Oryctolagus cuniculus: one gene and its partner. The protein of the gene in region 2 purifies or fractionates together with the protein of the main gene of each other region. This does not show direct contact. Links are inferred from orthologs where the notes say so. Each region holds a gene or a part of one and is shown on either strand. Other genes may lie near its edges.

The links.
Region 1: the proteins of IGF2BP3 (region 2) and FUS purify together in Homo sapiens (affinity purification with mass spectrometry; 3 studies listed by BioGRID and IntAct, with this or other methods). This does not show direct contact. The link is inferred for Oryctolagus cuniculus from reciprocal best matches to the Homo sapiens genes IGF2BP3 and FUS.

What each region holds. Positions count from the first base shown.
Region 1 is NC_091450.1:6,013,613-6,017,977, reverse strand, and holds the start of FUS (RNA-binding protein FUS), read left to right. Parts: upstream 1-1,397; 5' UTR 1,398-1,499; coding exon 1,500-1,512; intron 1,513-2,851; coding exon 2,852-2,876; intron 2,877-2,979; coding exon 2,980-3,134; intron 3,135-3,837; coding exon 3,838-3,982; intron 3,983-4,176; coding exon 4,177-4,364; intron 4,365-4,365. UniProt on the Homo sapiens protein: DNA/RNA-binding protein that plays a role in various cellular processes such as transcription regulation, RNA splicing, RNA transport, DNA repair and damage response. Binds to ssRNA containing the consensus sequence 5'-AGGUAA-3'.
Region 2 is NC_091447.1:15,444,295-15,448,835, forward strand, and holds the start of IGF2BP3 (insulin-like growth factor 2 mRNA-binding protein 3), read right to left. Parts: upstream 3,029-4,541; 5' UTR 2,797-3,028; coding exon 2,622-2,796; intron 2,398-2,621; exon of another isoform or gene 2,227-2,397; intron 1,747-2,226; coding exon 1,686-1,746; intron 1-1,685. UniProt on the Homo sapiens protein: RNA-binding factor that may recruit target transcripts to cytoplasmic protein-RNA complexes (mRNPs). This transcript 'caging' into mRNPs allows mRNA transport and transient storage.

The DNA of each region.
Region 1 (4,365 bases), on a different chromosome or scaffold from region 2:
CACTCCGGAGTCACACTGTTTTTCAGTGAGGGCTTGGTGGCAGGGTATTCAAGAGTCATCCAACAGTACGAAGTCTGTGGGCTTGCCTAGAGCAGAACCCCTGTATCTTATCTGTCTAGATGCTCAATCTACAAAGAAATGTCTGGAACCCAGAGCAAAGTTTGGTTGGGAAGGAAAATCTACAGTCGCACATGTACCAGGAATAATCTTTGTCTGATTTGTTGGAAAAGATTCAAATCCCCCTCCCTAGGCAAAGCTGATCAGAGTGCAAGGTGCAAGTTAATTTGAATTTTGCCCCCCCCCCCCCCCCGCCTTCATTCTCACAGGAAACGGAACAGGCTTTCAAAATTCTATAAATAGTTCAGGTAACCAACAAAGACCTAGTGGTGTAGTGACCTGGACCTGGATTCGAATCACTGCCCCTCGCTCAGCTGCCTGTACAAACACGGATTGCGCAGGCTCTCCCAGGAGCTTCGCTTTTCTCGTCTCTACAATGGAGATGCCTTTTTTACTTTCTTCACCGGTTTTTGATGAGAAGGATGTAAAACTGCGCATGAAACTACTGAAGTCGTATGCCAATGCATTATCCCCAGTATCTCCACGCGGGTTCCGCGGAAGGGCTCAGAATGAAGAGTGTAGGTCGTCGTCGGGAAAGGGGCGGGGAGGGGGGACCCGTAATCTGATAACGGCAAGGCTAGCTGGGGTCGGAGGGGGGCCCGGGCTTTCCCGCCCCACGGTCCTCCAGGGGCAGAGCCACGAGGGTTCTGCCGATCGCTCCGCGCTGCATGAGGGCCCAGAGATCCAGGCTCAACTCCATGCTTGCTTTCCGGTCAGATGTCACAATCTATAAACCCCACTGAGGACTAACGCAGAGGCACCCTCAAGACGCTGAAGCGAAAGCCGAGACGCAGGGAAGGAGAGGGTCGCTGCGATGGCTGAGGGAGCAACGCTACAGCTCGCAGACAGGAGGGTGGCGCCCTATGCGGCAGAAAGGCAGCGGAGGAGGGGCTCGCCATCCCGAGTCAAAGTGAGGCCCGGGCGAGAGGGGCCAACCAGAGGAATCTCGGTTCCCACACCTCGACTCCCGGCCTTGACTACGGTTCCTTCCGCAGACGCCCGGGGCCTCGGCCCCGCCTCTAACGTAATCAGACCGTACCATGTCTCTCTTATAGGGGTAGAGAAGAATCGTAGGCTAGGCCTGCAGAGCGAAGGTGAGCTATTGATCAGAGAAAACATGATGATATATATTCTCTTATATGTATTAGTTAGTTTTTTTCCTTCTTTCTGCTGGGACCCTCGACCCTCCCCGGAAGGTGGTAGGAGTCCGGCCCTGCTTCCCCCCTTCGTTTTCGGCGGTTGGTACGTCCCCCCGCGGTACGTGGGCGGGGAGGCGTACATAAGCCTCGACGCAGGAGGCGGGGCTGCTCAGTCCTCTAGGCGTCGGTGTTCCGAGGTGTCGGAATCTTGTTGCTTGGCGGCCTGTGCGCGCGTGCGCGGAGATGGCCTCAAACGGTATGTAAGGGCGCGAGGCAGCGGTGGCGCGCCGCTCCGGAGGGCCTGGCTTGCTCTCTCCTAGCTGGGCTTTTGATTTTTTTCAGTGGGGCCAGGGCGGCGATCGCGTGTAGGATATTTTCGAACCCCTGTGGCGGGAAGCCCGCGGAGAGGGGCGGAAGGGGGGGCGGGAGGCTGTTGTCGCCATTTTGTTTTGCTCCTCTGGCGCGTTTCGTGCGGGGCGGGAAGTCTTCCCTCCGTTCCCTTGGATGAGGTGGGGGGAGGACGCTTTTCAGCGAGTTCGAGTCTGTGGTAGCGGGCGGAAATGCCCAGGTTCCCGGGCCCCCCCACCCCCTCCACGCCGCGCTCGGGCCCGCTTTGTCGCAGTGCTGCATCCGGGCACTCGGTGCGCGCACGCGCCTTGCGGGCCCCTCCCCCGTGCTCGCGGCGCCGATCCTCCCTTCCCAGCCTCGTGTCAGGCCGGCTTTTTGTCGCGAGACCCTCGGTAGCGGACTCGGCGGCCCGCCTCCGGCGTGGGCCTCGCCCCTCAGGGTCCCACGGGAAGGGGCGGGACCGCCGCGTTCCCGCCTCGGTTGCCACGCGGCCGGGGGCGGATGCTCGGGATCGGGGCCGCGCGCCCGGCCTAACGGTTGAGGGGGGCGTCGGGGAGATCCGCCAACGGTCTCGGGGGCCGAGTCCGAGGGTTTTCCCGCCTAAATTTTCTTTTTCCCCGAATTGGGAACGGGCGTCCGAGGCCACACCCTTCCCCGATCCCTTTGCCGTTTCCTGCGGCGGGAAGCGCCTGGGTTCCTGGACTGAGGGCAGGAGTTGATCTCGCTGCTGCGTCTCGAATGTGACGTCCTAAAAGCGCTTTTCGGTACCTTTTGGGTTGCGGCGGCTCCTCCTGTCTGAGAAGTCGGCAGGAGTCGATGAGAGCCTGTTGGAGCCCCAGGCCTGGGGACTTGAGCACTGATCGAATTGATGAGGGGCCTTGTCGTTTGGCGTCACAGGACCTCTGCTTTTTGGTTGCTTGGCTTTGCTTTAAGACTCCCCTCTGCTTTTTCTCCCAAGATTGGCCAAGGGGCGGAGAATGGCTATTGTTTTTTGGTGCCCACTTAGGAACTCCGTGGCCTTTGTCATGGAGTGGGTGTGACCGGGACAGGGATGGGACAGGTTTTCTAGCAGTTCCTCAAGCGAGTGGAGTTTGCATTGAGAAAGAGTCTGGTGGGGCGTTGGTGGCCAGCAGGGCAGCAGTAGGCTGGTGGGTTTCCTGGCTCCGATGCCCCAGTTCTTGGGTTAAGGAATAGACCTGGCAACCCCTTTCTTGACCCTAACGTTGATTGTCTTTTCTCTTCATCAGACTATACCCAGCAAGCAACCCAAAGGTGAGTGCCGTGTCTGGGCTTCTAGAATTCCTAGCGGGCAAGGGTGGTTGAGGTCATTTTCTTGACTGCACCCTTTTTCTTCTTTTTTCTTTTTCCCCTGCAGCTACGGGGCCTACCCCACCCAGCCTGGGCAGGGCTACTCCCAGCAGAGCAATCAGCCCTACGGACAGCAGAGTTACAGCAGCTACGGGCAGTCAGCAGACACTTCAGGCTATGGCCAGAGCAGCTACGGTTCTTCTTACGGACAGACCCAGAACAGTGAGTCTGTCTTGGGCGGGGGGGTCACTCTGCCTTGAAACCCTAAGCAGTGCTGAAGTGGTGAATCTCTCATGTTTTTTCCCCTTTAACCCTAAAACTTCTTGGAGTCTGCAGTCTTTTCCAGTGAAAATGCTTCCTTCCTTGCTTTTAATCGTTTCCTTTTTTCCTTTGACTTTTTGTTTATGCTGTACCTTTTCTCTGTTTCCCTGCTAAGCATGAGGGCATACTCCCTAAAGAGAGTGCCAGTCTTAGGCTGATTCTTAGTGGAGAAAATGGTCTTCTTGTCTGAAGTCCCATTACTGGGCATCACGGGATACGCCAGGAGAAGGAATTTGCCCCCGAGTTCTGAAGTGAAAATAATTCATGTGGGTTTTCTTGTGTATGGTGTACTCATACCAGCATATTAAAACGTGGTTGACACAGAGGGATATTTTGAATAAGATTCCAGTCTTGGAGACTGGCTTTAGGATAGGTGGAATAAAATTGGAACTGTCTTTAAAAAGTCAGTAGGAGTTAGAACATTAACCTTAGAGTTCAGAAGAATGTCCTTTCCCTGGCTGGGAGTTGCAGGATTTACTAGCAGTTGCTAAGAGGTATGGATGAACATAGGTAGAGTATGTTTTTTTTTTTTTTTTTTCAACCCTTCCCATGCCTTTGTTTCTTCATAGCTCTCGTGACTCCCTTGCTTTGTTTTTCTTCGTAGCAGGCTATGGCGCTCAGTCAGCTCCCCAGGGGTATGGCTCAACTGGCGGCTATGGCAGCAGCCAGAGTTCTCAATCATCCTATGGGCAGCAGTCTTCGTACCCTGGCTATGGACAGCAGCCAGCTCCCAGCAACACCTCCGGCAGGTAAGGTGTTTGTGTGCCCGCAAGATGAGGGGTGAATTGCTAAGGAAAGAAGGCAGAGCACTAGGAGCCATTAGGAGGCGCAGTGTGTGGTGGGGGAAGGGAGGCCTGTGTTGGTAGGGAGGAGGGGATGTGCTGAAAGTGAAAGGAAGTTGTGGGCATGCCGGGGTTCTGATTTGCCTGTGTGTTTCCCGTAGTTACGGCGGCAGTTCTCAGAGCAGCAGCTATGGGCAGCCCCAGAGTGGGGGCTATGGCCAGCAGTCTGGCTATGGCGGACAACAGCAAAGCTATGGACAGCAGCAAAGCTCCTATAATCCCCCTCAGGGCTACGGACAGCAGAACCAGTACAACAGTAGCAGCGGAGGTGGTGGAGGGGGTGGCGGAGG
Region 2 (4,541 bases):
CTGGATTCTCCTATTTAAGACATTTTAATACAAGCAAAGCATTTACAGCCCTTGATTGTTCTCTCAAATTAGTGCATAAAAAAGTTTCCACTGTATTCACCCCTTCACTCTGCTAGTGACACAGTATAATGCTAGTGAAAATTCACCTTGTTTACAACCTTGACAAACTTCCACAGAGACACTTGCTGCCTCTGGAAACGTTGTATCTAATGTGCTAAGAGGAACTACCGCCCATTACAAAGTAACAAGCATGTTCAGGGCTAGGCAAAAAAAAAAACCTTTAAAACAAGCAGTTGTTACCAGAAGATGTTTCTCAATCCCCTACAAGTGAGAAGAAATTCACAACAGTTGGAAACAAAAAGCAAGAGGGTGAAGCCATCATATATTTGCATGTAGGTTAATCCAATCTACCTGAAAACAAGACACTAAGTATTTACATTTAAAACTCTCCACTGTTAAAATGCCAGTCCTTAAAGCATTACCATTTTCTTACTTTTAATTCAACATTTGATGAAAACTAAGACAGTGCTTAAACTCTGAAATCATTTAGAATTTGCAGGTGTAGAGGTGTGTGTGTGTGTGTGTATTTAGGTTCACAATTCACATGCTAGACGTATACATTTCTTTTTAGAGGGATAAGACTTCTCCTTTCTTCAAGTCCCGTTCAATTAACATCAACTGAGACTTTTCAGTACAAATTCTATTATTTTACAGGTTTTTAAAAATAATTTCATGTAATTAAACATAATTCCCAACTACAACTAAATCTAATCGGTTACTCCCTTTCCTACGTATCCTAACGAAAATTCAGCGCCTAAAACCAGAGACCTCCACGTAAAACCAAGCCGACTCATTCCTAGAAACGAGACTCAGTTTGCAAACGCTTTACCCGGAAGGCAGCTGGTTGTAGAAGCAGGGGCGGCCGGACGCCGGCGCGCGTCCGCACAGCGAACCGTGCGGCCCCCAGCTCGCTCTCCCCGACGCCAGGCCGCACGTACGCAGGCCCCGGGGCGCGGCAGCCTGGAGCTCCTTGTCAGGCCCCGGCAAGGAGTGGGGCGGTGGGAAGCAGGAGCCCCAGGGCCACCCTGCAAGAACCCAGCGCCACACACAGGATTACAGAGCCCGATCCGGCCTGGTCTGGAAAACACTTCAGAGGCTCGAGGAGTCTGCACAACGCTGCCCCAAAAAAGGCACGCTACGCACGTTCTCGGAGAAATCCTCCTGCAGAGCTAGCACCCACCTCCCCGTCTCACCACCCTGGGGCTCAGCTGAAAGCAAAGAGAGACCCAGGAAAAAGGGGGCAGGGGGCGTGGGGGCGCAGAGGGAGACAAAGGCACGGTCGGCAAAGACCTGTGTGAGTCTGGAGGGGCCGAGAGAGGCTCCGCTGGGCCGGGAAGCCCAGGCTTCGGGACGGGACCCAAGCGCGGCCGGCGCGCCAGCAGGGTAGGGGCGAGCTCCGGCCTCGCGCCCCGGCTCCCGGGCAGGCCCACCGCACCTGGGCCGGCCGCAGCCTCCCGCGCCCTGCGGCACCACCTAGACCTGCTATGCCCAGAGCGTCCTCCGAGAGACCCCCTTCCTCGCCAGCACAATGGCCAAGAGCCCGGGGCGGGGTGCGGGGAAAGGGTTTGCGCTCGGTGGAGTCTGGGCTCCCAACAATGGGGCGAGAAAAGAATAAAGACGCTCACCTCTGCCGTTTTGGGACCGAGTGCTCAACTTCGATGGGCTTCCCGTGCAGTTCCGTTTTACCTGCGGACACACGAGACATGAGACTGTCGGGTCGCCGGAGCCCCGAGCCCCACACACCCTGGGCGGCGCCACCGGCCGCCCCGAGGCCTCGGCGCCGCCGCTACGCTGGTGGGCAGCGGGCCCCTCGGGAAGTGGGGGCCCCTCGGGTGGCAGCCAGGCACCGGGTCTCTCCGGCCTCTCCAGGACCCTCCCCCACAGGGCCGACTCGGGGGAGAGGGCGCCCAGTCCTGTTCTCTGGTCCCAGCCCAGGCCCTCCGGGAACCGTTGGCGCCGGAGCCGGGGCCGGCCGGACGTGCGGCCGAGCACAGGGCGAGCCGAGCGCCCACAGCCAGGCTGAGTCGGTAGGAGGAGAAGCCCTAAGACTCAGGGCTCTCGGAGGGAACCAGCGCAACCTTGCCGCCCCAGGCCTCGTCGCCCCGCGCGCCCCGGACCAGCGCGCGCGCCCCGCCAGTCCCGGAGGCCGCCGCCGCCCGAGCCCACCTGCCCCCGGCGCGCGTCGGACGGGGCGAGGTGGAGCCGGGGCGGCGCGGGACCGCCCGTGCAAGGCACCAGCCCCGCGGCCTCCCTAGGCAGCCCGTGTCCGGGATACCGTGCGCTCCCTTAGGCCGAGAGGCAGCCGGGTCCAGGCCACGAGTTAGCGAGCAGAGGTTAGCCCGCAGGGAGCAGCAGGGCGAGCAGGCGCCCGCGCCCGGCCCGGGCCCGGCGTGGCGGGGCCTGGAGCGCGCGCCCGCCGCGGCCCCGCGCCCCTCCGTGCCCGCGCGGGGCTTTCTTGACAGCGCGTCCGGCCCGGGCCCTTGGACCCCCGCGCCGCGCGCTGAGTGCCCGGCCTGGGGTCCCGTGGCGCCTCCGGGCGCGGCGGCCAGGCCGGGGCCCACCTGAGAGCGCCTCGATGGCCTTGAGGGCCCAGCCGTCGTCCGGGCAGTCCACGAAGGCGTAGCCCGCCTTCACCAGGAAGGGCCCCGACACCGGGATCTGGGCGTCCTTGAAGATACTTTCGAGGTCCGCGGGCGCCGCGTCCTCGCCCAGGTTCCCGATGTACAGTTTGTTCATCGCGAAAGGGGGCGGCTCGGAAACAGGAACACAGCGCGGGGTGGGGTGGGGGGACGAAAAAATGAAAAACACGGCAGCGGCGAGGGCCAGGTCCCGCAGGTCCGCGCGCGCCGAGCCCGGGTCCGGGGGGCGCGGGGTGCCCCTTCCCGGGCGCTGCAACCGAGAGCGAGGAGAGAGAAAGCCCAGCCCCAGCCCGGGCGCATCCACGAGTCTTCCCAACTCCGAGGAGGAGGAGGAGGAGGAGGAGGCAGAGGCGGAGGCGGGACCAGCCCGCGCGGGGGGAGGGGCGGGGGAGGAAACTACTTGGCGCCCCCCCCACCCCCGGCCCGGCCCGGCCCCGCCGCGCGGCGAAAATAGCGCCCGGCGCGGGGCCCGGCGCAGCGCCGCCCCACCAGGCCCCCGCAGCGCGGCGGGCACGCGGGAGGGGCGCGGGCGGGCGCAGGAATCCACGGCGAGGGCCCGGCTTTTTGAATGAGCCACGTGTTCAAGCTACAAATCAACGTCTCACGTGAGGAATCCCGGCGCCTCAATTAGAGTGGGTTTCGGAGGAGAGGAGGCAGAGAGCGAGAGGCGGTGGGGGTGGGGGTGGGGGTGGGGGTGGGGTGGGGGCGGGGCGGCGTGGGGGAGGGGCGCGGCCGGGGTGGCGGGGGACGGGGGGCGCCGCCGAGTTTGCCCGGGGGCCGGCGGGGCGGGAGCGAGGGGTGGGGGGAGGCCGGGGCATTGATTTTATTTTCCAGGGTGCAGGGGTTGGGGTTGCTTGCTGGGCAGTTCCCCGGCTCTCGGAACCGCAGTTTTTAATTATTCGATTTTTTTCCTTTTTTTTTTTTTTTTTTTTTTTGCAAATAGGTGATGAACGACCAAGGCCGAGAGTCACCGTCCCCAACTCGCCTGGCTGCCTGGAAGACGCCGGAGGTGCGGGCCGGGGCCTGTCCCCACCCCGCCCCGCCCCCCGGCGGCGGGGACCGGACGCGGCGAGGGGCGGGGGGCCGAGCCCCGCGCCCCCGGAGCCGGCGGGGGAGGGGCGCGGCGTCCGGGGCGGGCGTCTGCGCGACACCTCCTCCGCCTGCGCTCGCGGTGGCTCTCGGCTTCGCGATTGCCATTGGCTGCGCGGCTCGGAAAAGGCTCCGGGATAAATGAGGCCGGGGGCGGGCCCGGCCGCCGGTGGGGGAGGGGCGGCCTGCGGGAGACCCCCCCCCCCCACCGCGATCTCGGGGCGGCGAGGCGGGTTGGCACTTTTATGGAGACGATTTCAGTTGGAGAACTTGGGAGCCGTGCGGGGGAAGACCGCCCCGCGCCAGTCCTGGGTGGCAGCCTCACTTGCAAAATGGCCCGAGCCGCTCCCTGCCGCCTCGGTGCGCGCCTTCGGCGGGGCGAGCCCTGCGCCTCTCGCCGGCCTGGGGCGAGCACAATGGTGGGAGTGGGGGAGGGCCTCGGGCGGGGAGCCTGCGAGGGTCTTTCGGGTGCACCGGAGCCCTGGGATGGGCTCGTAGCAGACAGTCCAGGGGAGAGATGGAAAACGCTCGTCTTTAAAGTGAATGAAATCCTACGCAGCGCGGGAACAGGCACTGGGATCTTTAATGACTCGGTGTTCTCGGCGGCAGGAAAATGTGTTGTGAATAGAGAAGGTATCGCAATGTAGCTGCAAACATCTTCGGTAACTCACGGCCGGTGCCGTTGGCTACTCTTCGACCACATTATATACTGTGTGGCATTGAAAAGTGTTTCCCAATAAAGCGTGACCGGGA